Styela clava: one gene and its partners. The protein of the gene in region 2 purifies or fractionates together with the protein of the main gene of each other region. This does not show direct contact. Links are inferred from orthologs where the notes say so. Each region holds a gene or a part of one and is shown on either strand. Other genes may lie near its edges.

Region 1 (7,980 bases), on a different chromosome or scaffold from region 2:
TTTTTTGGCTTCCCCAAACAAAACTAAGTTTATTTTATTTCGTGTATTTATTTAATTAATATACCTGTCATCATCTCTTCGTCTCCTTCCATCTCTATCTCTAGATCGAGATCTTCGCATGGGCCTGTCTCTACTACGGGAGCGATGACGTGACCTGAAAAATTAAATTTGTTTAATTTTCGCAATGTATTCTTTATATCCTTTCCTTAGATGAGCAGTACTTGGGAATTTTGATTGATTAAATTGAAGACATGGCCATTTATTGAATCAAAGTTAGTGGATCTGTTCGATGTTAGCCACCAATATGAAGGATACACACATGTCCCATAAAACTAGACAGTCATTTGCACTTATTTTGGACAATTTTTCATGTCAACTAAAAAATGAAAATAAAGTGTGAAGAAAAAAAAGAATAATCAGTTACCGGTAATATTCGTCCAAAATAATATTAGCAAGTACATAATTACTGTTTATATAAAATAATGTGACAATTCCTATTGAAAGAATTGGTCACAACATAATAAAATGTGACGTCAATCTGTCGTGAATTTAAATAGATAGGCTAGGGATTGATGACCGAGTGGTTGTTAAAGTGCTAGACCTAACTATGTTGATTCTAATACACTCATAGTGGTTCAAATTCCATTACCACCCCTTCACCCAGAGTATAATAAATTGGATAGGTGATGCCGAATTAAGATTCCAAAAATAGTAGCTCATTACATATTATACAACATCAGTATATGATTGTACAAGGCTTGTTCGGAGCAAAAAATATGAATAAGCGTCGAAAAAACAAAAATTTAAATTATTTAGATATTGAAGTACCATGACATTGTTTTTAATATCCTTAATTCGGAGCTCCCGAAGTATGTGTACCTAAATGGCGCACAACCTGACAGGTTATTAATGAATGACAGGGAACTATTTTATTGCTCTAACCTTGACCTTCTTCTTGATGACGAATGGCTAGGTCTACTTGATGACGAATGTTGATAATCTCTTTTATCCCTCGATCTACTACGCGATCTTCTGCGAGTTTCACTAAAATAAAAAGTGAGATAAATGTTTATTTTTTTTTTGTTTTGGCAAGTTCAACACACTATTTATATGTATATGAATGCATACATCTTATAAATGGGAAACTTTGAAGTAAAAATGTTCATGGAAATGGTTACAGAGAAACTGTCAGAAATAGAATCATAGCTTATTAAAATGAGGCTTATTTGGAACTGTTACCAGTAGATATTTTCCTGTTTATAAATTTCTTGTGCCTAGGATGGGTTTGAGGGGGAAGTTTACCAATTTTGGAATAATTTCTGACTTACCCCGAGCGATGTAATCTATCTCTATCTGAGTGATGAGTATGAGAACGTCTTGCATAAGAATCATCTCTTCTTTCAAGCAAACGATCATTTCTAGAGTCACGACTCTCTTCATAATGCCTGACAAAAATATGTACACTCATGCGAATTGCGAATCTTGAATACAGAAGAAATGCGAAGTAATAAAGTAACACATACCCTGATGCAAAGTTGTCATAACTGTACTAGATAAAAATCACAAGATACTATACTATACGCAGAAACTCATACTATACTAATAAGCTTAAATCAAGTAATAATTTCCAAACAAATCAATTCATACCTGGCTCTGGAATGTTCTGTTTCTCTTGCATCATTAGAACTGTGTTTGGTAGGTGAGACAACTTGTTTCTCAACCCTTTTAATCGAAGGTGGCGATTTTGATTTCTTCTCTTTTTTCTCCTTTTTCTTTTTATCTTTTTTATCTTTCTTTTTCTTCTTTTTTGTTGGTTTAGTAGAAGTTTTCTCATCATCATCATCTTGTATTGCTTCCTCTTCACCATTTGCTTCTATTTCTACCAAAAACAACAATTTTGCTTTAAAAGAGAATCCTATGTTTTTCATCATTTTGCTTGTGATTCATGAAATACTACAAGAAAATGTCAATTGCGCTGTGTATATTAACTAAAAACACAGATTATTCATTTACAACACGCCTACAAATTCATGGATCACTGAACGGATGTTTGATGGTCGAATGTATGGTAAGATGGTCATCGAAAAGACAGGTTTGAACACTGCACGACAAATGTTCAATCACAATAAAACATCTAACCAAAACAGTGTAAAAAATTTAGCAGAGTGCTCTACGGCAAGACTTCAATATTTATTGTAATATTTATAACAAACACATTATTTATCTCAGAAACGAGGATGTCTGGCATGGCGGAGAGTTGCAAGACCATGCCATGTTTCTTGCGTTAATAATATAAATCAATTGCAGCATGTGCAAAACTTCATGTGACCAAAATCCTCTCATGTGAACTGTTTTTTGCTAGAAACTATTGAATACTACGGTAGAATTTGTTTTCGTTCTGTAAATCAAATTATTTTATGGCATTTTAGAATGCTTGTCCTTTCGGTATATTGAGCAGTACTGATTTGCGATGATATGGAGCCACCAGACTGTCTCGTAAAGGAGAAGTGTGATCTACTGATAAAAAGTTGATCAAAACATTAAATTACTCTACTGCAAAATGTAATTTACCTGCTCCATCTGCTTGAACATCATCAGAAACCTCTCCTTCTTCTACATTATTCATGAGAGCAGCCTGTAATAAAGCTTTTTGCTGCTCTAAATCTGATAATGCTCCATCAAAACCAGTCGTTGTAGATGCATTCTGTTCAGTCTTTCCATTTTCTTCAATAATTTCATCAGAACTTTTTGTTTTTCTTCTCTTTTTACTCGATTGTTCATCATCGCTTGCTTCCGATGATGATTCTCGCTTACGGGAAGAATGTTTCTTTGCTTTTTTATGCTTATGTTTATGCTTTTTTGATTTTAAAGATTTTTCATCATCGCTGATTTCTATAACACCATCAACAGGGTCTTCATGGTCTAAAGCTCTCTTTTTGTGTTTTTTCTTATGTTTATGACTTTTCTTCACCTTTGGAGCTATTTCTTCTGCTAAAGAATCAGAATCACTACTTTCTTTCATTTTTGATTTCTGCGTCTTCATGTCTATTTATTGACACCAGTACCAGTATGACATTCGAAGTTAAATATGAACTCAATTCTGAAAATTAAGAGAGAGATTTTATTGGCACAAACAAAATCAACAGTGACGTAGTCTCGGAAGTTAGCAAAAAATGATCTACGCGAGATCGACATAACTTCTGACGCAGCGTGAAATATTTTTTATGGAATTTATAAATCAGAATTTTCAGTTTTTTCCCAAATCTCGTACAACATCTTGCGATCGCTGTAATAAATTACATAAATTGATATCGCCCTCTGTCGAATGAAGGTCTTTTGACGAGGATCGCTTAATAAGTAGGAGCGCCGCTCCTACAAATCCTCTCAAGTGACACACATCTCATTCTGTCCAATCGACAGATTGCTGGATTATATTATCACCCACTATACTATGTCTGTGCAATTTGCCTCAAAATTTATCTTGTTAATCTGTAGCGATTTTTTTAATGTCTTTATATAAGGCCTGCACAACATACGGCCCGCGGGCCGCATGAGGCCCGTTAGATACTTCTGTGCGGCCCACAGGTGATTTAGAAACACGCCACTTCTCGTGTCTAACAATCAAAGCCGGCATTGTTATGCAAGCGCGCCGCTACCCCGATCATATTCGAAATCGAGAGATTTATGTTTTGCAATAGTTTCAATAAATATCAGACTTTGTGTGAAACTGGTGTGCCCTGCGTGACCTCTAAAATTCCTCTCTCGTCCCCTCGCCCCCCAATTTGGGAAACCCTGATTTCGATATCTCAGTATCCAGACTGAATCACGCTCAAAACAATATCGGTATACAATCTCACACCCATTAGTGCATATTAGCAACCTATTAATAACCCATTATTTTTTACTAGCAGTTTATGAAACTGAAGTTTCTCTTTTGATTCGAATTTAGAACTTGAAAAACAATTCCTTCATTTATGAATGGTGCAGAAATTCTCGCACAAAAAATATTGCTATTTACTGTAAAATTTCAAATAAATCGGATCAGATTTTGTAGAAAAATGTAATTTAACAGTCGAAAATGTACAACAGAGGAAGATCTATTGCTACTAAATGGATTGTTTGTCTAGCCTACAATGGAAATATCTAATAATGGTATTTATGACTAAATAAATTGTCATACAGATATTTGGGACGATTTTAAAAAACTGAACCTGAATATAATTTTTATCTGCAATCAGTTTATACTGCAACACGCAATACCTAATTCTAATAAAAAAGAAATATTGAAAATGAAGGGTGAGTTTTCAAGGTAGATGAACCACTAAATACATACCGTAATTGCCATCTCATATGCAAAAATACTGCACCTTGTTTTTACTCAAGAAAATAAGATTCCTCATATTTTAAAGCTCCCCAGTAATGAAAGTGTTTCATTAAATTTAACTGTTTCACAATATCATTTTGATTTGCAGTTCATCTTGTGAAATATGTATGTGGCAAAGTTTGCGGCCCGCCGGGCCTTCAGATTTATGCTTGCGGCCCTCGTGATAATTTGAGTTGTGCAGGCCTGCTTTATATATCTGTATATATGCTGCCTTAGGTCTTTCAACATTTACACAAGATGTTTTTGTGTATTCCACAACTAGCAGACTTGAAGTGGGGCTAGTTCACTAAACGCCATCAAGATCCCGATATATGAGAGAGCTCGCTGGCGTTAGCGAGTTCGTTATCGTTGGCAGAGATGCCATTTCAGGCGATTGTAGCTTTTCCTTGGCAAGCTCTATGACAGCGTAGTGACATAATTTTTGGATGATGCAACCAGGTGTGGGTTAGGAATAACATATGCAAATATTATGTTCCTGCCACGCCAACTAGAAGTACAGTGTTTAGTGAACATGCACCCCTGAATTAATCGATTCCACACACAGACACAATTGAAATTCTGCCATTTACTCAAAAATATATATTAATGTCAAATTCGGCCAATGCCCCACTTGATAAAATGTGCAACTTGTCTGGCATTTTATTTAGCTTTTAACGCTTAACTTAAATGTAACTAATATATTTTATTTTTCTTTATATGGAAATTTAATGTTGTTTTTGGACACACCCTGACACCTGAGATATGTTAAACTATATCCTGATATCTGAAGCACTTTTTATTCATGTTTATTGAAATTTATATTGCAGTATTTAGTGGTAACTGTCTATACGATGGCCGCATGGTCGTATCGTTGCCACCCAGTCTGTACCGAGAACTATTTCAGTATTTGGCTTTCTATTAATTATGTTTTTGTTGTGTCTGTGTGTATATGTTTGCTGGTGGACAAAACAAATACAGAAATAAACTCTCTCCCTCCCTCCGAGTTTCACGAACTAATCTAATCTAATGTAAGTTTTTTTGTAATTTACAAATACTGAAATAGGGGGAACATGATAGAAACAGATTATCAGCATCAGGACTATAGAAATCAACTTGATCCAAATTCTTGAGCAGAAAGAGCGAAAAAGATTTTTTTATAGACTAAGTTAACTTAAATTAGTGATTACTGGATTAGGCAGCTGGTATAGTCAGATAGTAGTAAAGGTAGCGGCAGTTCATGGATAGAAACCTGTATTACTGTATCGTATTAATCTAAACGTTAATCAACCGACTGCTTGTCAACCCTAACCTGTCCTAATCCTATATTTTGGCATTCTTTAAGGAAAGGGATTTATTTAGGCTATTTTTGAAATTTTCCAAAGGGGGTGCATACCGGTAAGTATAACCAAAGTTACCCTAGCAGACATCTCTCAGCAGACATCTCTCTCGTTTTTGAACGCCCCGATCACTGTTGCCAGAACTCAGATTTCAATCGAGCGATGCGAGAGTTTACGAAAAAGGCATCGATGCAAAATCAGCTGATGCTTTATGCGTTGCCAGATTAATCATAAAAACTGTGAATAATTGCCAAAAAATCACAGTTCTCCCCAAAATATAAGTGTCTCACAAATATATCCGCTTAGTATAAGAAAGACAAGTATAAGTGTTTATAATGGGAAGTAAACACAACGAGTTTGACAAATATTGGATAGGTGGAAGAGATACTTACTATCGTTTAAACCTGTCCCAGTCGTCAATTTTTAATAAAATTGGTAAAAAGACCTACTTTGCCTCCAAAAAGATGTGTCTTACAATCATAACTCTCCATTTATACATAAACAACAGTAGTACATTTAATAAAGTGTTTATACAACGAGTTTCAAAAAGTTTGTATGGGGGGAAGATATTTCTATTCTCGTTTAAACATGACCCGCTTGTCAATTTATGATAGAAATGGCAAAAAGACCTCTTTGCTCCAAAAAAAGAGTGTCTTGTAATTACGGTCCCCACATTTACAAAAGACCAGTAGTAGTACATATAATAAAGTGTTAATACTGCGAGTTTGAAAAAGTTTGTATGGGGGAAGATATTTTTATTATCGCTTAAACATGGCCCGATAGTCAATTTTTGAAAAAAAATGGCAAAAGGAACTAGTTTTCCCCAAAAAATGAGTGTCTTGCAATTACGGGCCCCTCATTTACACAAGACCAGTAGTAGTACATATTATAAAGTGTTAATACAGCGAGTTTGAAAAAGTTTGTATGGGGGGAAGATATTTTTATTATCGCATAAACATGGCCCGATAGTCAATTTATGATAGAAATGGCAAAAAGACCTCTTTTGCACCAAAAAATGAGTGTCTTGCAGTTATGGGCCCCACATTTACAAAACACCAGTAGTAGTACATATAATAAAGTGTTAATACAGCGAGTTTGAAAAAGTTTGTATGGGGGGAAGATATTTTTATTATCGCATAAACATGGCCCGATAGTCAATTTATGAGAAAAATGGCCAAAATACCTCTTTTGCCCCAAAAAATGAGTGTCTTGCAGTTATGGGCCCCACATTTACAAAACACCAGTAGTAGTACATATAATAAAGTGTTAATACAGCGAGTTTGAAAAAGTTTGTATGGGGGGAAGATATTTTTATTATCGCATAAACATGGCCCGATAGTCAATTTATGAGAAAAATGGCAAAAAGACCTCTTTTGCCCCAAAAAATGAGTGTCTTGCAGTTATGGGCCCCACATTTACAAAACACCAGTAGTAGTACATATAATAAAGTGTTAATACTGCGAGTTTGAAAAAGTTTGTATGGGGGGAAGATATTTTTATTATCGCTTAAACATGGCCCGATAGTCAATTTTTGAAAAAAAATGGCAAAAGGAACTAGTTTTCCCCAAAAAATGAGTGTCTTGCAATTACGGGCCCCTCATTTACACAAGACCAGTAGTAGTACATATTATAAAGTGTTAATACAGCGAGTTTGAAAAAGTTTGTATGGGGGGAAGATATTTTTATTATCGCATAAACATGGCCCGATAGTCAATTTATGATAGAAATGGCAAAAAGACCTCTTTTGCACCAAAAAATGAGTGTCTTGCAGTTATGGGCCCCACATTTACAAAACACCAGTAGTAGTACATATAATAAAGTGTTAATACAGCGAGTTTGAAAAAGTTTGTATGGGGGGAAGATATTTTTATTATCGCATAAACATGGCCCGATAGTCAATTTATGAGAAAAATGGCCAAAATACCTCTTTTGCCCCAAAAAATGAGTGTCTTGCAGTTATGGGCCCCACATTTACAAAACACCAGTAGTAGTACATATAATAAAGTGTTAATACAGCGAGTTTGAAAAAGTTTGTATGGGGGGAAGATATTTTTATTATCGCATAAACATGGCCCGATAGTCAATTTATGAGAAAAATGGCAAAAAGACCTCTTTTGCCCCAAAAAATGAGTGTCTTGCAGTTATGGGCCCCACATTTACAAAACACCAGTAGTAGTACATATAATAAAGTGTTAATACAGCAAGTTTGAAAAAGTTTGTATGGGGGGAAGATATTTTTATTATCGCATAAACATGGCCCGATAGTCAATTTATGAGAAA
Region 2 (8,296 bases):
CAAACATTGCTGAGATTTTGCTGCATATCAGATCAATTCATAGAGAATAAGATCAATGATGTTGGAATCTGGAACCTTGGAAAAAATGAAACCAGTGAGTGATATATATCTGTTTATATACTGCAACAATGACAATGTTCAGTACATTTCATCTCTCTTTCAATGTTTCACACAGGTTCACCACACAGTATAATACATCTGATAGCAGGTATCTCCAAACTCAGACAATCATGGTGGATTCGTCACCAAATAATTGGATTGACATCGTGCTATCTCAGCAAGAACCATTTAAACAAAGGTCATTTGTGTATTATCGCGATCAATTCAGTTTTGCACGTTTTCTTGCAATTGCATCCTCGACTGCCCTTAATTGTTCAAGTAATTCAACTCTCCTATTAGATGGTGGCTTCTTGGTTTGACCTGAAAGTTCAGAAGCAGGGCGTTTCCGATCTTTAGCAATACCTGGTTTATCAATGATTGTCATTTTAACGTCTTTTCGGCCAGGTTTAGATGGAACTGCTACCTTACCTTTTTGAGCAGCAACCTTGGGAACAGTGGGAGGTTTGTTACCACCTGCTGATCCAGTAGACTTGGCAGATTTTTTTGATTTTGTTTTATCTCCATCAGAATCTGAAGAAGATGAACCAGAAGATGAAGTATAACTAGAAGATGAACTGCCGCTACTTCCAGAATCAGAGCCAGAACCGCTTTTGTTTTTACCTCTAGATGGTGATGGAGACGCTGAACTATCCGACCGAGAAAACTCACTACTACTTGAGGATTTTCTCTGTTTCTTGGGCAATGCTTTATCTTTTTTAGCAACAATAGGCTTAATGGTAAGATTAGTAGGTACAGGAAGGGATGCATTGTTGGCAGCATTAGAAAAGTTTTTGGCAACATCAGGTGGAGCCTTGGCCTGTGGAATAATTTGTTTGTCTTTGCTTGACTTAATTTGTGTTACTGGTTTCGTACCAGTGGTATTTTTACCTACAATTTGTGGGGCTTTCTTTTGTGCACCAACAGCGGCATTGCGTTGTTTAGCGGAGGCTAGAATTTTTTTCTTCGACTTTACACCTTTCGAAGGTGCTGGAGATCTACTTGAATGACTGCTATACGAGCTGGAATGTGAGGAACCCGATGATCTTGATGATGATCTGCTGCTTCCTGAAGATGACCTCGATGAATATGATGAATGAGAGGATGAACGGGAAGAAGAACCTGAACTTGACCCTGATGATGATGAAGAAGAATCTTTATTCTTATTTCTTCCTCTAGCTTGAGGCCGGGCACGAGCCCATGGATCCACCCATTGATCACTTCTTACATTAGGGGCCCCGTTTTCAGCTAACTTGAATTCATCTATTTGGAACTTTTCATCTTTGGTCTGGTCACGAGGCGCTTCCCTGCGATCATCATGCAACGGCAAATGCTGGTCTGGTCTTTGCATATCTTTATCAGGACGTCTATCTCGATTTCCATCTCTCTGCTCATCCACGCGATGAATAAATCCTGAATCTTTTGGATGACGATCTTTGCCATAGATGGGTTGATGTGGTGACATTCTCCTCATGTCTGGTGGATAATGGCCAGGTGGTGGTAACCTGTGAGGTGAAGGGGGCCTTCTTTCGTGAGATTTTGGATGTAAAAGATGCTCTGGAGGGGGAAGTCTGTGGTCTTTCCCAGGTGGGTGACGAATTGGGGGTGGTGGACCCCCACGCTGTCTTTCACGATGCATTCTCGCTTGACGACGCATTTCTTCAGGTGTTGGTACAGCATATTCATCCGCTTCAATTTCCTGAAATGGATCGAATCCTTTGTTTGCTGGTCCAAGAGGTTTATGATCTACAAATTCCATATCACGATCCTCATTCAAAGCCAGATTTAGAGATAACACCTCACGTTTTTGAACAAAGTCAGGCTCCTGTACTTTGCGCTGCAAAGCTCTCTTTTTTAATTCCTTTGCATGTCTCAAACCTTTTTCCCAAGCAGTTTCAGCAACTGGAGGGGGCATAAAAGGTGGAGGTTCATTTTCCCATGGTGATCTGTATCCTTGGGGTTGTTGATGAAATTCTGGAATGTCCCTTTGGGTTTGCCTATTGCGTTCATTATCACTGAACATATTATAATTACCTCTGTCATTTACTCCAGGGTGGAGATATCGACAACGGTCACCCCAAGTACAGTTCCCCATTAAAAAAAATCTACAAGGTCTTTTCTGTTCTTGAGGGACATCTTGTGGACCATCTCTAGTCTCTCCTTCTTCAAAATCTTCTCCATCACTTTTAAGTTCACCATCGCTATCACTATCAACTTCACCATCAGATCTTTCTTTTACGGCACGATCAATTACACGAAACGCATCAGTTGACAAATCTGTGTTTTTTATTCTAATATCAGTGTCATCCTCATCATAGTCCAATTGTTCAAGATCATCCGGTCTATTATCATCTATTCCATACCCTCTTGGATCATCATTTACTGATTCTGAACGTTTTATTCCATCACCAGCCGATGTATTTTCTGGTTTCGATTCAATATTTGTTCTAGCAGTTTCATTGATTGCAATATTGTTATTTGTTGTTAAATCATCAGGAACATTATCTTTTTCATCATTTGAATCATCTAGTTCACCCTCTTCAGTTTCAGTAGTGTCCTTAACCATGACCGCACCATCCAAATTCTGTCCATCACTTTCCACTTTAATCGTGTTGTCGATTGGTTTAGATGTTTGATCAGTATCATATGTCATCTTACTAGTTTGATTATCATTATCCGATTTAATTTCATCCTTTACATCAGAAATATCTTGTTCCAATGACCTGCTTGGTTCATCTTTAATTTCAGATAAATTTTCATTTAATTTAGCAACAAAATCAGGTTCTGTTTTCACTGTATCAACATTAGTTTCACTGGAAATGTTAACATTATCTTTCTCATTTGTTTCACTGTTTTTATTAGGTAATCCAGCTTCCACAGGTTCCAGTGATTGATCCCCACTTTCTAGTTTTTCCTCAACATTACTTTCAGTTAACTCACTATCATCATCATTAGAAATAATGGAGGGATTGGCAGATTTATCAGTGATTATTTCACCTTCTTCCATATCACAGGTATAACTGCACAATGTGACAATGTCAGATTTTTAAGAATATCAAGTCCTGCTATATATAACTAAACAATATCAATGTAAAAAATATGAGTTAATTTTATAAATTAAAAACCCAGCAAAAATGATTAGCATTTGTCAAATTAGAGACAACTAAGCTCATCAGTGGGAATACACAGCCATGTTCATCCATAAAAATTTAAGCTCTTAGATAGGGCTGGGAATTTTAGTGAAAATACTTTAACCGGGTAAAATTAACCGGTTAATCGCAGCGTGGAGTTTGACGTAAAAAGATAAAAGTTTAAGGATTGTCACGTCACAATGGCCCCAGAACAAATGTACAATTTTTTTTATTTTACGCGGTGGCGAGGTGTTTTTTTTGACAATGGCAAAAAATATTGTAAATTTAAAGCGTTCGTCACTACTTCTCTAGAATGTCAATATGCTAATATCCCTGCGGCAGAATGCACATTAAATAGACACTCTTGCAACAAAATCGTGAACATTATAAACAACAACTTTTTTCATAATCAGCAAGACTAGTACTTCAATTATTTCCCTACATTTTCATGGTGCTCACCATATAGTGATATCCTTTTGAATTGTACGTCACAGGAAATAAATTTGTGAAAAATCTTACCACTTCATGGCAGCTCCTGCCACGAAATAACCGCGGCAGCTCTCGTCATGATTTCATAGCGCTATTCAGTAATCCGTATTAACAGGATATTCACAAATTGATGTACCAGATTTTAATTGATCATGTGGAATTATATCTACTTAAACCCTACCCCAAATCCATCAAAACTGTATCCATAAGAAAAACGTTCCAACTTACCCAATATTTGTCACCACCTGTTCTTACGGCCCACCTGCCATGGTTACGGCAGCAAAATTTTACATGCAATTGGTTTGGTTTTCAATTTGCTGCCTCGGTAACGCAGCTCGTCATTGGTTTGTGGCAGCTAAAAAGTCAGTCGCCATAGGTTTGGCCGTAGCGGCCATGGTATGGAAATACCGTCATGGTTTTGCGGCAGCTGCAGACGCCACAGAATACCTAAAACTGCACTTGCGTAATAGAGCCCTTCAAACTATACAAACTGCCATCCAAGACGGGCAAACGAGCACCCGAAATTGAACAGTTATCGGCACCAATGCCATTTCGGGCGATTGTACGTATATTCAGATATTAGGCAAGCTCTATGACGTGATTGTGATGTCGTACCGGTAGTGACGTAATTTTTGGATGGCGCAGTCAGATGGGAGTTAGGATTGACATATCAAAAAAATTTTATGCTACGCCCACTAGAAGTATGTTTGGTATGCCTAAACTTGTTTCTGGGGTCTAGCGCAAAACCCCTTTTGGCATGGAAAATAAGTTCAAAACATACAAATTTTCCATCACATACCTGCATACCGGTAGGATTTAGGATCACATAATTATGATGCACAAGTGCCGCCATTATTCACTGGTCATATCAGTCATTCTGTACGGTACCGTACCGGTACCTTAGTTGCAGTAATGCAAATTCATCAACTCAAAAGTCCGAAAATGTTTTGCTTTTCTAGTTTCACTGCAGTACCGGTACCGTACGGTACAGTACTGTTTTATCGTACCCTATATCTAGCTCTACATCTACGATATTTTAGTATTCAGGTCACAAGCTCAGGTACCGTACTGCAGCGTGTAGACGCAGGCCCAGTACCGGTACCGTACCGATAACCCTTACCGGTACCTTGTTACTCCCACCCTTTCTGTATTTTGTACGGTACCGTATCTCAAATTGTCGTCGCCATTCTCGCTAAGACCTTAATAAATATTTTTTTTTTTTTGATAAGAATAGTGACGGGGTGAACAAAATAGATACTGTATTGAATTTTGAACTCGTATATTTTATAACTCCATATATTACGATATAATGCACCTCATGCATTCATGAGGTTTCCAATATCTGGACATGCGAAAAAGCAAGTGCGCCAAGCTTAGTACGACGTCAAAGTGTGTGTGTGTGTGTGTGTGTGTGATAGGGGTCGTAAAGTGCTTACAGCTCAATCAAAGCTTTTTGCACCAGGTCGTGATAGGCTATTTATTTATCTAGGGGAAATTATTTAAAATAATTTCTTTGTTGCTATTAAATGGGTCTACCAGTAGATTCGACAAATTTTAGCACATGAAATAAAATTTTACAATCTGTTAGTAAATATTGAAGCCGAAATGGTACATCATATTCGGCACATAATTTTAGTAAATTGGATCGTTGATTGTTGAAACGTCTGCAGAACAGAATTAAATGAGCAACGGTTTCTTTTACGTGACAAAAAGAGCATAGTCCGTCTTGATGACATCCCAGTTTTTGTAAATGGCTATTTAATCGACAATGTCCCGTCTGTAAACGAAAGAGCATTATTTCGTACTTCCGGTGTAAGTTTGAATATTGAATTATGGGTAGTTCTGGGTGAAACATTTTAAAATGATTTGTATCTTCACTTTGTATATATTCGGTATCCCATTTGCGATGACAAACATCAGACAACAAAGATTTAGCTTCATTTTCTTCAATGTCTATACAAGCAGCAGAGTTTGGAGAAATGGTAGCTTGCTTTGCTAGTAAATCAACACGTTCGTTTCCCAGAATGTCCTTATGCCCGGGGATCCATAAAAAGGTGACTCGTTTCCCCATAGCGATAGTTTGAAAATATGAAGATTTGATGTCAACGACGAATTCATTAGAGGAATCCGTGCAGGCTTCAATAGATTGTAATGCACTTTGGCAATCTGATAAAATAACGGTTTCGTATGCATTGCATTGATCGTTGACCCATTTCAGCGATTGTAGGATTGCATTTAGTTCTGCATTATATGAAGAGCTCAGTTGAGGTAAGGAGTAGCTGTGTTCGACCGATCTCGATGGTACGAAAAAAGCGGATCCACAGCCATTTTCATTTTTTTGATCCGTCTGTGAAAATTATTGAATAGTTTGGATAGTAATGTTCGAGATGTTCCGTCAAAGTCAAACGTACTACATCGCGAGAAACATCTTTTTTCAGAGTTTCAGCTAGGGTAAGATCAACATATGGGCAATCATAGTTCCAGTATGGTAACGATGATGTTATTCTTGGTTTTATTTTAAATTGTTGGAATATTGAGGATTTCGTGAGCATATTGAATGACTTAAATGTGACGGAGTCTGGATATATCTCTTGCCACGAGTCTTTAATTATGGAATGAGCAGGATGATCAATTATGCTGTATGATAATAGATGACATCTATAAGTTAGGCATTTCAGAAGATGTCGGATGTGTAGTGGCATTTCTTCAGATGCCGCTTGCAAAGATTTGATGCTGGAACTTGACATTGAGCCACAACATATCCTTAGACATGATTTTTGAATTTTCATCATTGGATCGAGCCATGTTCGTGGGGCAAAAAAATATGCTTCAAATCCGTATTCAATCAATGAACGAATGAGTGTCCTATATAGTATGAGTAATGGACCTTTGGCAGATCCCCAAGTATTTCCTGAAAGTAAACGTAGTAAATTTATTCTTTTGATACACTTTGTCTGAATATATTCAATATGCTTTTTATAATTAAGAAGCGGGTCGAATATAACAGTGGTTCCCAACCGCTCGTCCGCGGACCGGTGCCGGTCCGTGAAGCATTTTTGCCGGTCCGCGGGAAAATTCATTTTGTTGTTTTTCTACCGTCTCAATCGCTTCACCGAAGTCGAAAAGACGAAGTTACGTTGGTTTATTACGCAATTTCTCTTCCGTCGTCATATAGCTGTTTGATGCGTGTGGGATGGCCCGGCTACGTCTTAGCGCCGAGTAATCACACTTTTGGGTTTTTCGGTTTCGATTCATATCGACAGCGCTCCGTCAAATCTCGCAAGATTCAGAAAACTGGAAATCAGCATGCGTGATTTTTCGTTCTGCATGCTCCAAATAAAAGGTTATGAATATTTCCTTGTTTAAACCAGAAAACTGTCAAGAACAGCATAATATTCCAGAGCTTCACCGTGACACCCAGTAAAATATAAACTTGTTGCGACCCTGCAGGTGGTCACGAGAAGCATAACGAAACCGGGGCCCGCTGGGATATATTCCGGGTGATGCACAGCAGGATTTTTAGCCTGGTGCTAAGTTAGGAACGACTTTATCATTGTAAAACAAATTCATTTTGTTTTGGGCGTCGATCAACTGCAGAGGGATTGGATTGATATGATGAAGCCGATGAAACCTCTACTTCACAGTCCAGATTTATAAAAGAATCATTGTCACAATTCATTCTTGAGCTCTCTTGATAACGAATACCCATTGCTGAGTAACCGAGCAACCAAACAGTTGTTCGAATTTCCAACCAGTTACTTTTAGCATTAATTAAAACGAAGCGAATAAATTGACTGCGAGTGGATGCAGAGCTACGCGTTGCAAATCCTTTTTTTGATGCATCGTTTGCAATCCTGTATTGAAAACGAAACAGTTCTCGCTGGAGTCAATTGGGTTTGTAGTACATGATTTGGCATGTACATGTTTTTTTTATGTGAGATGTGTGCCTTTTTTACGCATAATGCAGCACTGCATTTTGTTACGCAAATATATGCTATTATTTTATGTTACACCCATTTCAATTATTGGCCGGCACATTATTTGATAATTTTTCCTCATGTGAAATGTTTTTAGTTGTATCTTTTTTTTTTTTTCTAAAAGCATAGTAATTGCCCGACATCACGCAAATAAATGTTATTATTTCCTGTTCCACACATTTCAATTTTTGCCGGTCCGCGTGTACATTTTATTTAATTTTACCGGTCCGCCAGGGTAGAAAGGTTGGGAACCATTGGAATATAACACCTAGATATTTGTAATGCATTGACCTTGTTAGTGAGTCCGTACCAATATTTAGACTTAGATGAGGTATTTTTCGTTTCCGTGTAAAAAGAATAAATGTAGATTTAGATATTCGGAAACCCCAGAGTCCGCACCATTTGTGGATTGTATTCAATGACTATTGTATTCTGGGTACAATACATTCAATATTCAAGTCGGTTTCCCAAAATGCAACATCGTCAGCTAAAATACCCATTTCCGAAGTTATTCCTTTTGATATGTTATTAATCATGATAGTAAAGAGCAAAGGGGTTATTACACTACCCTGTACTATGCCATTATCAATTGTTTTGACCGCT
Region 3 (7,547 bases), on a different chromosome or scaffold from region 2:
TAAAATTGAGGATGGGTGAAGAATTGTTTATCTTATCAGTGAGATAATTATTTAACATTACTTGAGTTTATTAGATTTCACCCAAACTGCGAGACTCTCCTAATTTGTACAACTAGGCTGGATATTTGAGTTACATTCGAAGTTATGGAGGTTGTGCTAGTATTATCAGCGAAGAGTTTTATAAAAGCTGAGGTGGAACTTACTACATTGTTGATATAGACTAGAAGCAGTGTTGGGCCAAGCACTGAACAGGGCGGGACGCCTACAGATGAAGGTTGACGACAATTTATTCATTACGCATATGCCACAAACTCCCCAACGTTTTAGTTTGCTCATATACATATATATATATAATATGATCAACCGTATCGAACGCTCTTTTAGATCTAGATTCAGATTCAGATATTTATTTTCATCGTGCAAGAAACAATGCAAAATAATAAACACACATAAAAATAACAAAAAAACGAAAGACATTAAATCTAGCAATTGATGAGGGGTCGCGAAAGACTCGGTGAGTCATCCAGTCAGCGACACATTTTTGATATACAGCCTACCAATCCCTTATCTGCAATTTCATAATATTTACTAATAATATGATTGCATGTTTGTAGAATGATGACAATTTATAATAAAGTCTTTATCAAGAAACGCAGCCTTGTGCACCGGAACAACCTTTGCCACTTTAGGATGATCTGGGAACCCTTCAAAGCACATAGGATAAATAAATAGTTCGCAGGGAACATGACTTATTGTACTACTGAAAAGTTTGAGAAGATAAGTATATGGTCATACCTCGGAGCTTCAATCGTTTTTGAGAATTTACGATATTCTTTATTTCGGTCACTGAGCACTCTTCGATAAACATAGATGATATATTTGGAGTACCCATGTTTCCAAGATGTTCGTTATCATTAACATTTGGAATGCCGTGGACAAATTTTGCCCAATCTGTGAGAAGTAACTATTGAATAGTGGTGACATTTCCCTACTATCACGCACAATCATCCCTGAATTAGGATTGTTTTTAGTCTTTAGGGGATCTGTTTGTCAGATTCCGAATTTATTAGCGAATTAACAGTATTCCAGGTCTTTTAGGAGTTATTTATACTTTTTTATAACATTCAGCAAAAACGTTTCCTTGGATCTTTCAAATGACATAATTTGTTAGCGTATCACTTACAAAAATGATTTTGTTGTTCAGTACCATTACTAAAGTGAATTTTGTTCAATTTATCTCTTAGACTGGTTGATCGTAGAATACCAGGAGGGATTCAAGGTTTTTTCTAAGTTGGCGCTTTTTTTCGAGCCATCTAGAACTTCAGAGCCAAAATAATCAGAATATGAATTTAAATTTCCAGCACAAATACTACTGGGTATCTCATATGAATAGAAAAATTATTGGGCTTTCCTAACAAATTCGTCCACAACAAAGTATCTCATATCCTTTTTATTTTTATTTTATCGATATAATGAGGTAATGCAAGATTGAGTTGGAATTGACAAAATACAGGGTGATGGTCGATCATACAATTCTGCCACACAATTGGCAAAATTATCGTTTCGGATATAATAGAACATAGGGGAAAGTGGGGAAGGTTGGGACACTTTTTTTCTTTTGCATATTTTGAGCCGTTAGTTCTGCATATTCTCTTAAGTTTGCGGGACTAATGCATAGAGGGGTAAATGTAGTTTTTATTCAGCAACAAAGAAATTCCCTTGCGACATACATCTTACCACCAAAATGCTTTGAAAAACGTCTGTCAAGTGTCCCACTGTACCCCACTTGTGGGGCACAATCGGACAGACCCTGGGGCACAATGGGTCAGTCTGTCACAATTCAACGAAGTATGTTCTTAAAAATAAGCAATTAATCAGCATAATCGTCTAAAGTACGGGGAGACTTCGGATTTGAAGATTTAATATTTTTAAAATCAATGTTCAACTGAAATAGTTCAGATTTTTTGACAAAACATTTTGCAAAAAAATTTGATTATTTCCTTCCTCGAATCTAAATCTGGAAATATTATTGATTCTCGAATATATTCCATATTGGGCCATGGGTCGAAAGAAACCATTATATTACACAAAATATAACGCATCTCTAAGTCTCTAAGCACTTATTGTATCAAACACTGTCGAATTGTGCCCTGTAGAGCATGTCCCACTGAACCCCGGTCCATTGTTCCCCATAGGAAACAAATATTTTCAGACCATCCCACGGCAAAATTCGGAAGGCACAGCCACTCGCTAACGTTAGGAATATTTTACAGTGGACTGCCGCTAAAGAATATCAGACGATGGTTTGTCTCGTTGGAAAGGCTAAACTAAAAAAAAGAAAAAACTGGAACGGTGAAATTTTTTTTTCAACCTCCCAAAACCAATTTCACCCCATAGCTTGCGCCGCTCTACCCGTCCGTTGTCCGTTCGCGGGGACGTTGTAACTCACCGAAGGGCGGATTGGAACATTGAGCCGCGGACAGGATTGCGGATATAGTATCAGTGTGATAGCTGATTTTCCACTGTGCCCCATGTCCCAACGTACCCCTAACGTAACGTACCATTAACGCATGTCAATAAAACGGAGGGGGAGCTCAATAAATTAATGTTAGCGTCACCTAATATTCTATATTTTTGTTGTTAAATGCCAAATTGTACAAAGTATTGCTGAGGCATTATAAAATTTCAATTGATCAAAACCAGGATGGAGATATACTACACCCATAATAATTAAAGTTGACTTTTCAATACGAACAGGTACTTCCACCCATAACTCTTCACATTTGGTGATGAGAGAAAGATGGGTAGCATATGCTACTATTTATTGATCAAAGACATTTCAACACCACCGGCAATGTTTTTTGTTTGCCTCTTCGTTTTGGCTTTTGTGTCTATATATTTGAGCATAACTCTCTTGTTTTACTGGTAAAATCAGAAAATACACTGAGGATATCATGGAAAAATTGAAAAATTTTTAAAAACTGATTTTAAACGGGTTATGTTTAACAAATATTGATGGCGTTCTGAATTGGGGGTTCTCTCGTGCACGAACCCTACAAGTACAAAAGTTAGGATGTCGTCTCTTGAGATATGTACGTACGGTATCCCAGCGGGGAATGATGATGTATATGTGACAAGAGTGTGTATGATGACATACGTACCTTGAGAGACGAGCCACATAGGATATGATTTGTTCTTCTGCCAATTCGTTGTAACATTAGTTTCCACAGTGAATTACAAATTTTCTGAAGTATTGACTAGTAACAACATATGTCGCTACTATACTAAACCGAATTTTGTTGGGATTTTTACTGGCCTTCGCAAAATTTAAGTAAAAGTATGCTAAATGAAAAACAGAAATTTAGGTGATGAACACACGAGCAAAATTGACTTTCTTTTTCCATTGTATATGACAAATAACACGCGTCTGATATTTGCTGCGACTGAAGCCCTTTTAGTATCGGAACAATTTCAAAGAAAACAATCTGGATTCATATTATTTAGATACAGAAATAATATGGTACAAGGGTAATTTAGCAATCAAAATTCTGACTCTCGGTCAATAATATTTCATACTATAGAAACTTTACTGTAAGCCTACCAGTGGAAAAAATTATCTGTTTCATTGCTCCACTCGATCATACTCATGATAGACGTTTGGGCATAATAGGATTTTTATATTTATATTTATTAAATCTTATCTGGCGCATCAGCCCTGCAGTTCAGTATGCTAGAATTGTCGACAGACTTGATACGTTTGAAACTTAAAGTATCGACACTTCTGTAGGCCCCGAGTAGAAGTAAATTTCTATTATTGAACTATAATGTTAGAGACTTAAAATATCCACCCTCTAACTGCAATCACCATGCTAATGCTTCCTAGTGCGGGCACAGATATGACGCCATATCCTAAAATAATTCCATGAGTTTGGTCAAGATTGACAAAATGACTATGCAAGTGCTTAGAGCATCTTTCTAGTTGTTTCTGCTCATAAAATCAATCAAAAATTACACATAAATATCAGACAGAGGCCGCTCCTCTGCGTTCCAAGATATAGGAAAACGATGACGTAGTGCAGTCGCATTCAGGCGTAGCGGAACAGCATTGAGCTAACTATATTTCAAGTACAACCATGATCTGACATTAGCCCGCTTCTGTGATATTACTGTCAGTGCTGTAGTAGGAACCGACGTTTTATGTCGGGGATTTAATACGGTACATTGGATCAATAACATGAGCAGGAGAAAACCTGCGTTACGAATTGGAGGAGGTGTTCTGAACAGGAGCACACTTTATCAAAAAAGTGAGTAATTTTCGAATTAATTAATGTATGGTAATGTTCGGTGTTACCGTGCAAATTTTGAAATTACTTTAACATAGCTTCATGAATTCTGGAATAGGATAGAATTCACATATTTCTGTATTCGGATAATCTTATTTGTAGTTTTGTGTTAGATTTTATTCATGCAGTTGTGTATCCTGAGATTGAATATAAGGGTACCGGTACCGGTACGGTAGCATTGCGGTACGGTAGCCTACCGTACGATAGGCGCGGTGGTGTGGCTCAACGGGCTAAGCGTTAGGAATACGCTCGTCACCGCACCTCTAATTACTCTGCATGGGTTCGCAGGTTCGAATCCCATGCAGGGATGGTTATGTGCGAGAGGATTGCTGGACTCCTCGCCGTCGTTGGGTGGTTCACGTAACCGCTGGTCGGTTACGGCTTCCTCCACTACCAACAGACCAAGTCCATGCTTCCAAAAAAAAAAAAAAAACTAATCCCATACCCGACTTGGAATGGTAACCGGACGAGAGGCCGTGGTTCGCCATATGGATATGCCGTCTTATGGTCTTTCCTCTCCCCCGGGATAAATATGTAAAATCCTATCCTAAATCCATTAATTCTGTATCCTGGTATCGTAATTCAGTAATTGCAGAATTGGCACTCAGATATTTCAGTATTTCTGAGCAGCATAAGTTTATACCAGTACTTATGGGTATTTACAGATACCGTATATAACTTATATAAACAATGCAAAAAATTAAACACTGATCGCTTCGAGTCCATTTTGATATTCCGTGTATACAGTCCAGCAGTCTGACAGTTCATTGATTGACAACTAACGCTGTCTCTTGCAGAACATGCATGTCACTATTTTTCTGCAGCATAAAATCAAGGGTTATTTTGATCTTGGGTGAGTATTTCTGTGATTGCGCATTCCTCTTTCTGTTTTTGCTTGAGGCCACCCGCAAGCAATGCTTGTGTGCTATTTTCTTTTCTGTCCCTGGTCTTAAAATAGAAAACAAAGCACAAACATTTAAATTATATTATGATACAGATAGAACATGATAGATGATTTTAATTTCTTCTTTAGATGTACCTGAAAATGAAGGACTCGGTTTGCGTGGTTCTCATGGTGACAATGATGAAAAGAAGATTGACTCACCATCTCTCGTACAAAATAATTTAACACAGGCAATCCATAATCTTGATTCTAAAGTTGCGGATTTTTTGAAGGAAATTGATGAGCTTGAAGCAGGTGACACAAAGGAACAAGATACACAAGCAGTGCAGTCGCAGCAAAGTAAATATAATTTTAGTGTTTTCAAAAATTGTTGCCTCTTCAAATTGAATTGATTATCTAATTAATTTGTTCATTAGGTAGTATAGGATTTATAGAATAAGATAGGATTTACATATTTATCACAGAGAGGGAAAAGAGGATAAGACAGCTTAATCATATGTCGAATCACAGTCTGTTGTCCACCATTAGTTCTCAGATGCTTGGACTTGATGGTTGAGGAAGTCGTAACCGATCAGTAGTTATAGTTATGTGACTTCTCGCAAGTGGTGGGGAGTCCCGCAATCCTCTTGCACATTGTTATTCCCCACAGGATTCGAACCTGCGAACCCAAGCATGGTAATCAGAGGTGCAATGGCAAGCGTATTCCTAGTGCTTGGCACAATGCGCCACATTGTGCGCCACATGAGTGGGTGAAACGATCGAATACAAATGAGATTTATATTAAATATTACAATAGTTAGTTTTCATCCAAATTTGTAATTTTTTTTAGTTGTGTCTTAATTTTGATAAATTCATGTCACAGTTCATAAAGATGAGGGCTTGAATACAATATTTATCTGTAACAACAATTGCCTTTAATTGGGCATATCAACATCAATAACATTGACGTACAACTGAGTCATACCTTTATCATAGGGGTCACTTTTACTATTCATTGCCTATTCTTGGCGGTACCTTAGTTGTTAATTTTGTATTTAGTTTCCTATGGAAGCTGGCAACAATGCATTGATGAGAACACTCAACACCCATACTACTGGAATACTGAGACTAATGAAGTTACATGGGTATTACCAGAAGAAATCTCAAAACAATTAGAAGCTGTTTCTCAGGTTGTTACTGAAGCTTCTTCGATAATTCTAGTTTGTTAGGCTTGAGGGAAATTGATTCTACAATTCAACATTTAAATTTTGTTCTAATAAGATTGACTAACATTAACTTCAAAATTTGGACGAATTACCAATTGCTCTAAAATTAATAGATGATGATGCATACACTACACACCAATATTTCAAACCAAGAACTCCTAATATTTAAAGTTCTTCTATTTCCCTTTACTATTACTTAGGCCCAGAATTCTTAGGATTCGGCCTTACCTACACGATTCAATAAATCCTGGGCATATGGTTGGGGCCTGACACTCTCGGTCACTCGGATGTTATGCTAGGCTTCAATATGTTTCTTTTATTATCAAATTACTGTTGCTCTTTAGAAAATGAAATGTTGAACTACAATTTTTATCAAAGTCATGTTATTGGTTTAGGTATTTTAATAAAACGCTACCACATTTATTCTCATCTTTTATGTTTATGAGTGTATTTAATAAATATGAATTAAAAAATTTACAGGTACCTCAAGCACACGTTGAGACTGATACGACAGCAGTGAAAGACATCAATATAAATGAAGAATCTGAAGGTGGTTTCTATTTTTTTAAATTGTTTTAGAGTTTAAAAGTTGAATTTGAAATAACATCGATGTCTTATATTTTAGACCATAACAAGAATGATCAAGAAACAACCGATGTGAAAAATCAAGCTAAAATTGAATCATCAATTGCTGTACAAAAGTATGAGTTGACTTTTTTAGGAATTTTTTTTAAGAGTCTTATTAATTTGTATATTATGCTTGTTTTGAATATAATGATCTTAAAAATGTATTACATGAAGATTTGATTAATAGAATTAAATTTTTTGAATTGCTAAATATTGACATTTCAAAATATTTTTTTCTAGTCATAACAAATATAAAGAATACCATAATCTTTTTACTATAAAATGTATTAATATGTCTGAATGTTTATAATGTGTTAAAAAGAAATTTGCTTTAATTGTGAGGAATACTTGATCTTTCTGCGCTATAGATCAATTTTGGTATTTCTTCATCAACATATTACTTGAATGCCAAACTTTTTTGAATAAAAACCAGCGATAGGGATCATCTATCTATATTTATATTTTCAA
Region 4 (8,258 bases), on a different chromosome or scaffold from region 2:
AAACAAATGATTTAGAAATAATGAAAAATAGAAGGGCTATCTACTACTTATTTATGATGCAGTATTGCTAAAATTTATGAATTCCTCAACAAAAAGTCAAGGAATGTACAATTTATAGGAATGTAGGAATTAATAATAGATAAATAAAATTCTTTTCATTGATAAAATCAAACAGGTATTAAACCACCTATCACCGTATGTCTAACAAAAGTATTTGAAACAGTATACTGTACTTGAAAATAATCTCCATAACTTAACGCTGACATGAGAGGAATTGAAGTTGCTCTGGAAGCCCAAATTTCAATCGAAATATACCACATAGTTTCTAAGTCAATAGTCATATAGTCAACATAAAATAATCTAATGAATAAAGATAATTACTACTAACATAAATACTAACTAGTTTTACTACAAAATAAGTTTGCAAATAACTTTGAAATCAGACAAGATGAAAAAGAATTTTGAGTTTGTCAATCACTAAGATAGATGTGGATAAAGCATTACGGTTTTGAAACGTTTCTTTCCATTTATATATACAACGCACATATGAACAAAACAGGAAATGTTAGTGCTGTTCTATAAATAACAAACAGAACAGATATTGATAGACACATACAGTAGACATTTAAAATAGATTGCCAGGGGAATCTATGGAACTACATTTTTTTAAAACTTTCTGAAGACTAAATTTTGTGTGACAATCATTGTCCTATTTAGAAACATTCATCCTCATGGAAAGATTTGTCAAATCATGGAATAAACTCCTGCCATAATCAAATTAAAAATACAAGATTCTAGAAAAGGTATATTCATTCATGTATGGGACATCTCAATTAATGTTTTTTCAAATTAGCATGGCAGAAAAAGTGAGTTCAAAAGTACTGTGAATTAGTTTTCAACATTGGTGCTACTGGTATTGTATTGTGTTTGATTCATTCATAATTGTCTATGCATGCTAGTGATGCTACCACACAAATTGTAAGCTCGCTAGAACTATAATAGAAATTTTAATCAAACAATTCAGAATCATGGAACTGTACAACAATCAAACATAATGCTGCAGAAAAAAGTTAAATGTAACCGTAAATTGTGAATAAAATGAATTAAAATCGGAACAATCACAACATTGTTTCAGTGTATCTCTTTTGAGCATAGTGTCAATGCAAATCAGATGATATAAATCAGTTTCATTGATTTATTTTCGGCATATTTGCATATTAGCAATAGCTTATCACCAGTCTTTCAGGAGCATGTAGAAGTCAGGCACATGATGAATAAGACGTTCTTATATTTTGCGACAGCTTCTTATATCTTGCGCAACCGATCTATCTAACCTAACTCTGATATGTTCAGTTCAAGTCCATTCTGTATCAAACTCAAAACTAGCCTGTCCTTGTTTTTTCGCGAAGCGTGTATAGATTTAAGTTAACCAATGCATATTTAGTAATAAAATAACAATAATAAAAGAAAAAACACAACATTAAAATTGCATGATACCAAAATTTTGCATTGTTGCATAGAACCATTATCACAGTTTAATAGAAGAAATAGAAAAAAATATATAAATAGTAATAAAAAATATATCAAAAAATACAACACTGTGTAGAAATAGAAGTGTTCAAGAAAAGCGAGAATATACTGCATCAGCAAAGCACAGATTTCACTGTAACTTAACCATAACTTTATAAGAAAAACAAGAAAAACTTTTTTATAATTTTTGTAAATTAAAATTTCAATAACTGTTGCTTTGCCAATGCTGTATAGAAAGGTATCAAAAGTAATAAGTGTTTTTCACACAACAATAAATTACGTACGGATTTAGAAGATGCAGCAGTCTCATTCTTCTTCCTGAAAACAATAAATTAATATTTAAATAAGGACCATATTACATAATTGATTTATAACTGTTTGTTTTTTTAATTCATATAATTATCCTTGAGGCATGAGAAATTGCATTGATTATTCTTAATTTGACTAAATCATATAATAAATGCAGCACGCATTCCTGAAACTTAAGAAATCAAAAAGCTGCATACAAATTACCTCTTATAAGAAAACTAATGCCACCACCTGTTTGTGATAGTGTTGGCATGCCATTGACCAAAAACTAAATTACTATCTATTGCAATAACTGAAAAACGTGAGGTTGAAACTATATCACATGCTAATGAATTTTATACTCCATAATAGCAATACTAAACAAACTAAACTTGCTACTTAAAAAAATTACCACTAGATAGGAACAATATTTATTCATTCATAAGAAAATATGTATATACCGGTAAGTAATGTTAGTTGACACTTACACAACATAAACCTTTGTTTTGTCAGGTACAGCACCTAATGGAATTCTTCTAACGAGCAATGCAGTGTTCTTTGGTATCAACGCTGACTCATCTTTATAATCTAAAAATACATGAATTTTACATATATATATATACTGTACATCGATGATTTGCTGATGGATACCTGACAACAGTTTCCAGGAAGTAACAAAGGCATCATTAAATTACTGTAAAATTTTAAGTAGAGGTAAAAGAGATTATTCAAATGAAATAAAATTGAATATATGAAATATTCTACATACCCAATGTAGCCTACTAGATAATATTACTGTATATGACACATTTATATAGACATTTAGAATATTCAATAAGATGTTATCAGTGAAATATTAAAAATGTTTTGCAAAATTTCATAACTGTATTTGTATTTTATCATCACATCAACAACTCAAAATTATAACACATACTTCGGAAGTATATCAGTTTTAAAAATTTTGAATAAAAATTTTAATATTTTATAATTTTGCTACCTCACAAACATATCATGCAACTACATCACTGCATTAAATTATCATTTGTTAAAGGTTATTAATTGAATGTCGAATTTAATTCAAACAAAAAGTCGTCAAGTACCACTGGCTCATCACATTTAATCCATTGCACCCACACTCACTAAGTCAGATCAGAATTAAACACTCAAATACTTCGGAATGACGCACATGAGCAAGTTGGAAACCATCAGCTCACCACAATTGGTCGAAGCTCTTATATATTTATAACTCACCAATGCAGGTTAGAAGTAAACACTCAAATACCAAATTTCGATGACATGTTTGCAAATAGCTTTTATCAGCATAATTTTCCATTTTAGTTCTATCATTAGGTAATTTATCATTAGAATTCGCACAATGTGAATAAAATTTAAGTATAAAGAGTCAAGCTTACCTTGTAGAGACTGAGCATTCGTAATTAGCAAATCAACTTCCGTCATCTTCAATTTTTCTTTTAACATTATTGCTTTCTTACAATCTTGGAGTGAAATGTTGATTCCATCAAACGTAACATTCTTGTAATCATTGCTGCTTGAGAACTTATAGTGGATCGCTGACATATCGATGCTAAATTCAGTTTCTATTACCCAATACAAAAATCAATCGGTATAAATGGTATTCGATTTATTCCATGTATTCTAAAGACAATATTATACATGTTATTATATATACCAGGCAACAAATATACAGATATGATAAGCACCCATCATCCATATCATGAAATAATGCAAATACATTACTTAGGCTACTACCAAATCAAGTCCAGTCATTTCATATTTTAATTTAAAAAAATTTAAACTTTTTATGTGATATTTTATAGCATTGCTCTCAATGAGGCTTTGGCAAAGCATTCACACACAAATAGTAAGGTCTCAACTCCAAATTAAAGAATGGCTAGAATATTTTAGCACATCTAAAGCCAACATATTACAAGATGGTGGGCTTCTAGACTAACCAGGTCTATTCATCATTGGCTTGCTTAGTGAGCATACTCTGATCGAGGCACAAAATACTAGGATGACACACCTAACTTTTTTATCCAAAAAAAATGATTGAAAATCAAAAAATAATGCAAATTAAAAGCGTTATTTTTCATCATCAGTGCTACATAGAGCCAACACATCTCAATTTAAATAGTATAATAGTGATTAATTCCCAAGATTAGTAAATGGTAAATATATGCACTTCTTTAATATCAAATTTCAAAAATTATCTAAAAAATGGGCATATACATTCAATAACCCACACCAAAAGGAATTATTTCAGAACTTTTTCCTTAGTAAATCTGCTCGGAACATGAAAATCATGAGGTGTAAACTTTGCCTGACATCAAGATATTTGAAATATTTAAATATATTTTCTAATTTTCTATTTTTGTATTATTGCAATGTCTTATCAGATTGAACTATCAAGCAGGAGCATATTGCATTGCCAAACGATCAAAGTCATTTTCTTTTGTATTGAAATCTTTGACAAATTTGTGCTTCCCATGAGAATCTTTCAGTTGCGACAGATAACGATTGGTAACTTCAGGTGGTTTTCCAATCTGTTGCGAAAGCACTATCATATTTATTAGAGTTTCAGCACAGTTGCTGTCTTTATCCATTGCTTGCTGTAAAACACCTTCCGCTTCGTCCCATTTTCCTTGAGCTATGAAGCACACAGCTTGACCATTGAGCAGTAACGTGCTACTTTGATTCTTGTCTGCCATTTCTTGAAAAATATAATAAGCATCTTGTAGTTTTTCCCCTCCTACAGAGATATTAAACCACGCCTGTGCAAGTTGAGTCAAGGTTGAATCTTCATCAGTTTCTTGCATTCGTTTGAGTTCTTTTTTTGCAAGATCGAGCCTGTTTATCGCAATGTAAATTTGAATCGAAAGAGCAGAGCACTCCAATGATTCAGCACTGTGAAGGATTCGCAAGGCGGAGTCAAAGTTTTCTTCGTGTGAATATATACTTGCAGCAATTAGTGGTAAAACGGTGTTTTCAATGTCAATATTCCCAGAAAGTTTATTTTCAACTTCTTTCAAAACTTGGTCCTTGTTTGATGAGTCAGCTAAATACTGAGCGAGAAGTTTAACAGCTTGAAGTTCCGATGATCCCAGACTCGAAATTTCATCTAAAACGACTCCAAACTTTTTCTGAGCAATGTATGCACGATACATAAATACATCTCGCTCATTCTTTTTTACTTGGCTACTCACTTTAGCCTTTTGTGCCTCATTGATACATTGTTGATACAAACCAAGATAGAACGCATTTTTGACATCAAAAAGTTCATCGACTTCAGATTGTTGAGACATTTCAAGTTTTTCTATTAAGAATAAGTAGCTATAATAATTAAACCATTTAATGTCTGTACAGAAAGAAGTGATAAGATATGGAAATTTCATAATAAAATAAAAAACTGTATTTGTCTCTTAAATGAGGGCATCTGGCACGACAGCAGATGCGTGGAATTGTGCCATGCTTGTCTCGATAATAATCTAAACTAATCGCGGCCACCACATGTGTTTTTTGCTATAAACTCTCGAATGCTACAGAAAAAAAATTTCAAGAAATCCAATTGTGACGTTTTCAGATTGCACTTTCTTTTCATTTTTGTGCAGTGCGAGTTTGTTCAGTTTGGAAGCCCAGACGGTCTAGTGAATGGGGTTTACACAGGTTTAATAATAAAAAGATGTAGACTAAATGTTGACAGGTTTCGGAATTATGTAAAATCACAGAACCAAGTTCAGAAGTTTAGGGTGGCTTACCCACTTCGCGGCCACGACCTATTTGCGGCCATCAACTTCATCGATCTAATTGATGCCGAAAAAATTAAAGAACCGCGACGATATTCGTCACGCATTATTGTCCACTTGTCTCTGCGATATTACACTAAAATACGGCCACAAACAGAAAAGCTACGACCGAAAACCTGACCGACGATAAAAACAGACCATTTTTTCATGTCGCCAACTACCCATTGTCCCATTAATGAAACTTGAAAATCCATACAAATATAAGAGATAAAAAATGAAACTTGGCAAGGGGGTAGAGTTGTGTTTTATTTAACCATCTTTTAAATATTTGCGTTTCTACATTTAAAGGAGGGGGAATAGGGGGGTGCACATTTCAAATAGGTCAATAATATCTTTGTCGACCAATTTGCGACCACCGTGTTTTTGTCTGTTTGATTGGGAGGGGGAATAGGGAGGTGCACATTTCGAATACGTCGATAATATCTTTGTCGACCAATTTTCGACCACCGTGTGTTTGTCTGTTTGATTGCTGTGATGTGGTGCTTTGTATATAATTTGACGAGTTTTGTTCGAAATGACCGTGTTCTTAAAATATATGACGGTCAGAAATGCAATTAGAAGCCCAATTTTTTCACGCATGGCTGCGCATGCTCTAGTCTCGACGCAGCAGAAACGATGTTCAAAGCTTGAAATTTGTGATCGCACACTGGTCGTTCGGTCGCAAATAGGGTGGTGTAGCCAGTCTGCGGACGATTTCATTCAAACCGCTATAAAACAAAAACCAATATTTCTAACCCCTGGTCGTAGAAAGTTAATTCGAGGTTTAGCGCGTAGAATACATGCCAATGCACCTACGGTGAAAAATTAACGGTTAGAAATATTGGTTTTTGTTTTATAGCGGTTTGAATGAAATCGTCCGCGGACTGGCTACACCACCCTACTTCTGTATTCCAGTATTTCAAAACGCTATACCTGATACGAATATTCGAACTGATAACTATAGTTAAAGAGATTGTTTCATTTTTTTATTACTACTACCTGACTACTGTACCGGTACTATCAGACTGTACAAAGGCAATGTTAAAACTTGAGTCACCGTACAGCCGTAACGTTAGACCGGTGTCTGTCTGTTAAAAATTCAATAAATCACCCCGGCAGTCACTGATAGATCTATATTTATGAAATAAACACTGCGTTATTCTACTATTGTTGACAGAACTATTTCCATTGCGGAAAATGAGAAACCGGGTACGACCCCAATATTACAAAAATACAGAAATAAAGAACGACACGAAACATTCCATGACGATTGAAGTTCGCTGCACTGCTTTGAGACTAGAATGTCGTCACCACTTATAGAAAATTCGAAACTACACGGAGAAATGTTAGATGAATTGTTTTCGGTATTCTGATGATCACCATACCTCTAATTGTTAAATTTTATAATAAAATGTATATTTTTCAATTATTTAATTAAAGAATTTTTAACAAAATAGATTGAATTTTTGACAAAGAGTTCAAGAAAGCAGTAACATTTTCCGCGTAGAACCAGATGTTCTGAGGCGGCGGTCTACGGTGGCTCGGCAGTGTGGCACATCGTGCTAAGCGTTAGGAATACGCTCGCCACCGCATCTGATTAGCCTTCGTGGGATCGCAGGTTCGAATCTCATGCGGGGATGATCATGTGCAAGAGGATTGCTGGACTCCTCGCCGCCGTAGGGTGGTTCACGTAACCGCTGATAGGTTACGCCTTCCGAAAACAAATAACTGGCTAACTAATCCCATACCCGACCTGGACTGGGTAACCAGACGAGAGGCCGTGGTTCGCCATATGATTGAGCCGTCTTATCGGCTTTCCTCTCCCCGGGATAAATATGTAAATCCTATCCAATGTAAAGTTACTATCGATCTCACGCATTGAGGTTATATACACCTCAATGATCTTACGTCGGAGTCGGACATGTGGTGTCTTGGACCGCTTAGGTGCCGATAATTTCGCGCACGGGGCAATCCAAGAATCAGCATTTGGTTGGAAGAAGCCGACAAGAAGACTACAATAAATAAAACTTTGGGCATATATGCAGCACTCTTGAGTGAAAGTACGGGGCGAATGTGTGTTATCTTGTGCTGATGTGTAAATGTGATGCCCAACTCAAGCAAGGTCTGAAGGTAGGTGGTGAACTCAAAAAATGGCGAGCATATCCCGATCAGGAAAGAAGGGAAAGATTTAACAACACTTGTAGCTATTTGTCGTAAGATAGTATTAGCAGGCTAAAGAAGTGGCAGAAAAAGTTCATCGATGCTAATAAGAAGGGCCAGTAACGTAATTTGAGAAATGAGATAGGGGGGAGAATACAAAGCTCTAGTGGAAAAAGGTAATGCTCTGCGGCGAACTGTGTCAGACGCTCCAGGGGGAGCAAGCATTGTCCTTCGAGAAGACAGACGGCAGCCAGGATGCCCAGGAAAGACTTCGATAGGAAATGGGTGATAAATCGTGCATCACTGGGAGCTCGGAAAAGCCAAGCTGAAATTGAGATGGCGCGAGGCTCAATTTTCCCCATCAGACATGCAACAGGAATATTTTTATTTAAACGACGCACGTTTTACTATTTCATAAATTTATCTCAAGTCGAAATAATTAAATTTGTCGTTCCCAAACACATTTGGTCATTTCAT

The links.
Region 1: the proteins of uncharacterized protein LOC120346921 (region 2) and serine/threonine-protein kinase PRP4 homolog purify together in Homo sapiens (co-immunoprecipitation; 4 studies listed by BioGRID and IntAct, counting the BioPlex papers as one, with this or other methods). This does not show direct contact. The link is inferred for Styela clava from reciprocal best matches to the Homo sapiens genes ZC3H18 and PRP4K.
Region 3: the proteins of uncharacterized protein LOC120346921 (region 2) and uncharacterized protein LOC120334230 purify together in Homo sapiens (affinity purification with mass spectrometry; 3 studies listed by BioGRID and IntAct, counting the BioPlex papers as one, with this or other methods). This does not show direct contact. The link is inferred for Styela clava from reciprocal best matches to the Homo sapiens genes ZC3H18 and FNBP4.
Region 4: the proteins of uncharacterized protein LOC120346921 (region 2) and uncharacterized protein LOC120331661 purify together in Homo sapiens (affinity purification with mass spectrometry; 3 studies listed by BioGRID and IntAct, counting the BioPlex papers as one, with this or other methods). This does not show direct contact. The link is inferred for Styela clava from reciprocal best matches to the Homo sapiens genes ZC3H18 and RBBP6.

Annotation. Positions count from the first base shown.
Region 1 is NC_135256.1:9,398,408-9,406,387, forward strand, and holds the start of serine/threonine-protein kinase PRP4 homolog, read right to left. Parts: upstream 3,100-7,980; 5' UTR 3,044-3,099; coding exon 2,572-3,043; intron 1,880-2,571; coding exon 1,648-1,879; intron 1,446-1,647; coding exon 1,329-1,445; intron 1,045-1,328; coding exon 943-1,044; intron 155-942; coding exon 65-154; intron 1-64. UniProt on the Homo sapiens protein: Serine/threonine kinase involved in spliceosomal assembly as well as mitosis and signaling regulation. Connects chromatin mediated regulation of transcription and pre-mRNA splicing.
Region 2 is NC_135260.1:18,937,004-18,945,299, reverse strand, and holds the start of uncharacterized protein LOC120346921, read right to left. Parts: upstream 3,188-8,296; 5' UTR 3,104-3,187; coding exon 320-3,103; 3' UTR 1-319.
Region 3 is NC_135264.1:7,026,275-7,033,821, reverse strand, and holds the start of uncharacterized protein LOC120334230, read left to right. Parts: upstream 1-4,122; 5' UTR 4,123-4,234; coding exon 4,235-4,304; intron 4,305-5,376; coding exon 5,377-5,586; intron 5,587-6,285; coding exon 6,286-6,416; intron 6,417-6,932; coding exon 6,933-7,002; intron 7,003-7,077; coding exon 7,078-7,153; intron 7,154-7,547.
Region 4 is NC_135255.1:12,391,874-12,400,131, reverse strand, and holds the start of uncharacterized protein LOC120331661, read right to left. Parts: upstream 3,402-8,258; 5' UTR 3,397-3,401; coding exon 3,231-3,396; intron 2,407-3,230; coding exon 2,307-2,406; intron 1,849-2,306; coding exon 1,815-1,848; intron 1-1,814. Other genes in the region: coatomer subunit epsilon-like, read right to left, coding at 4,245-5,141. UniProt on the Homo sapiens protein: E3 ubiquitin-protein ligase which promotes ubiquitination of YBX1, leading to its degradation by the proteasome.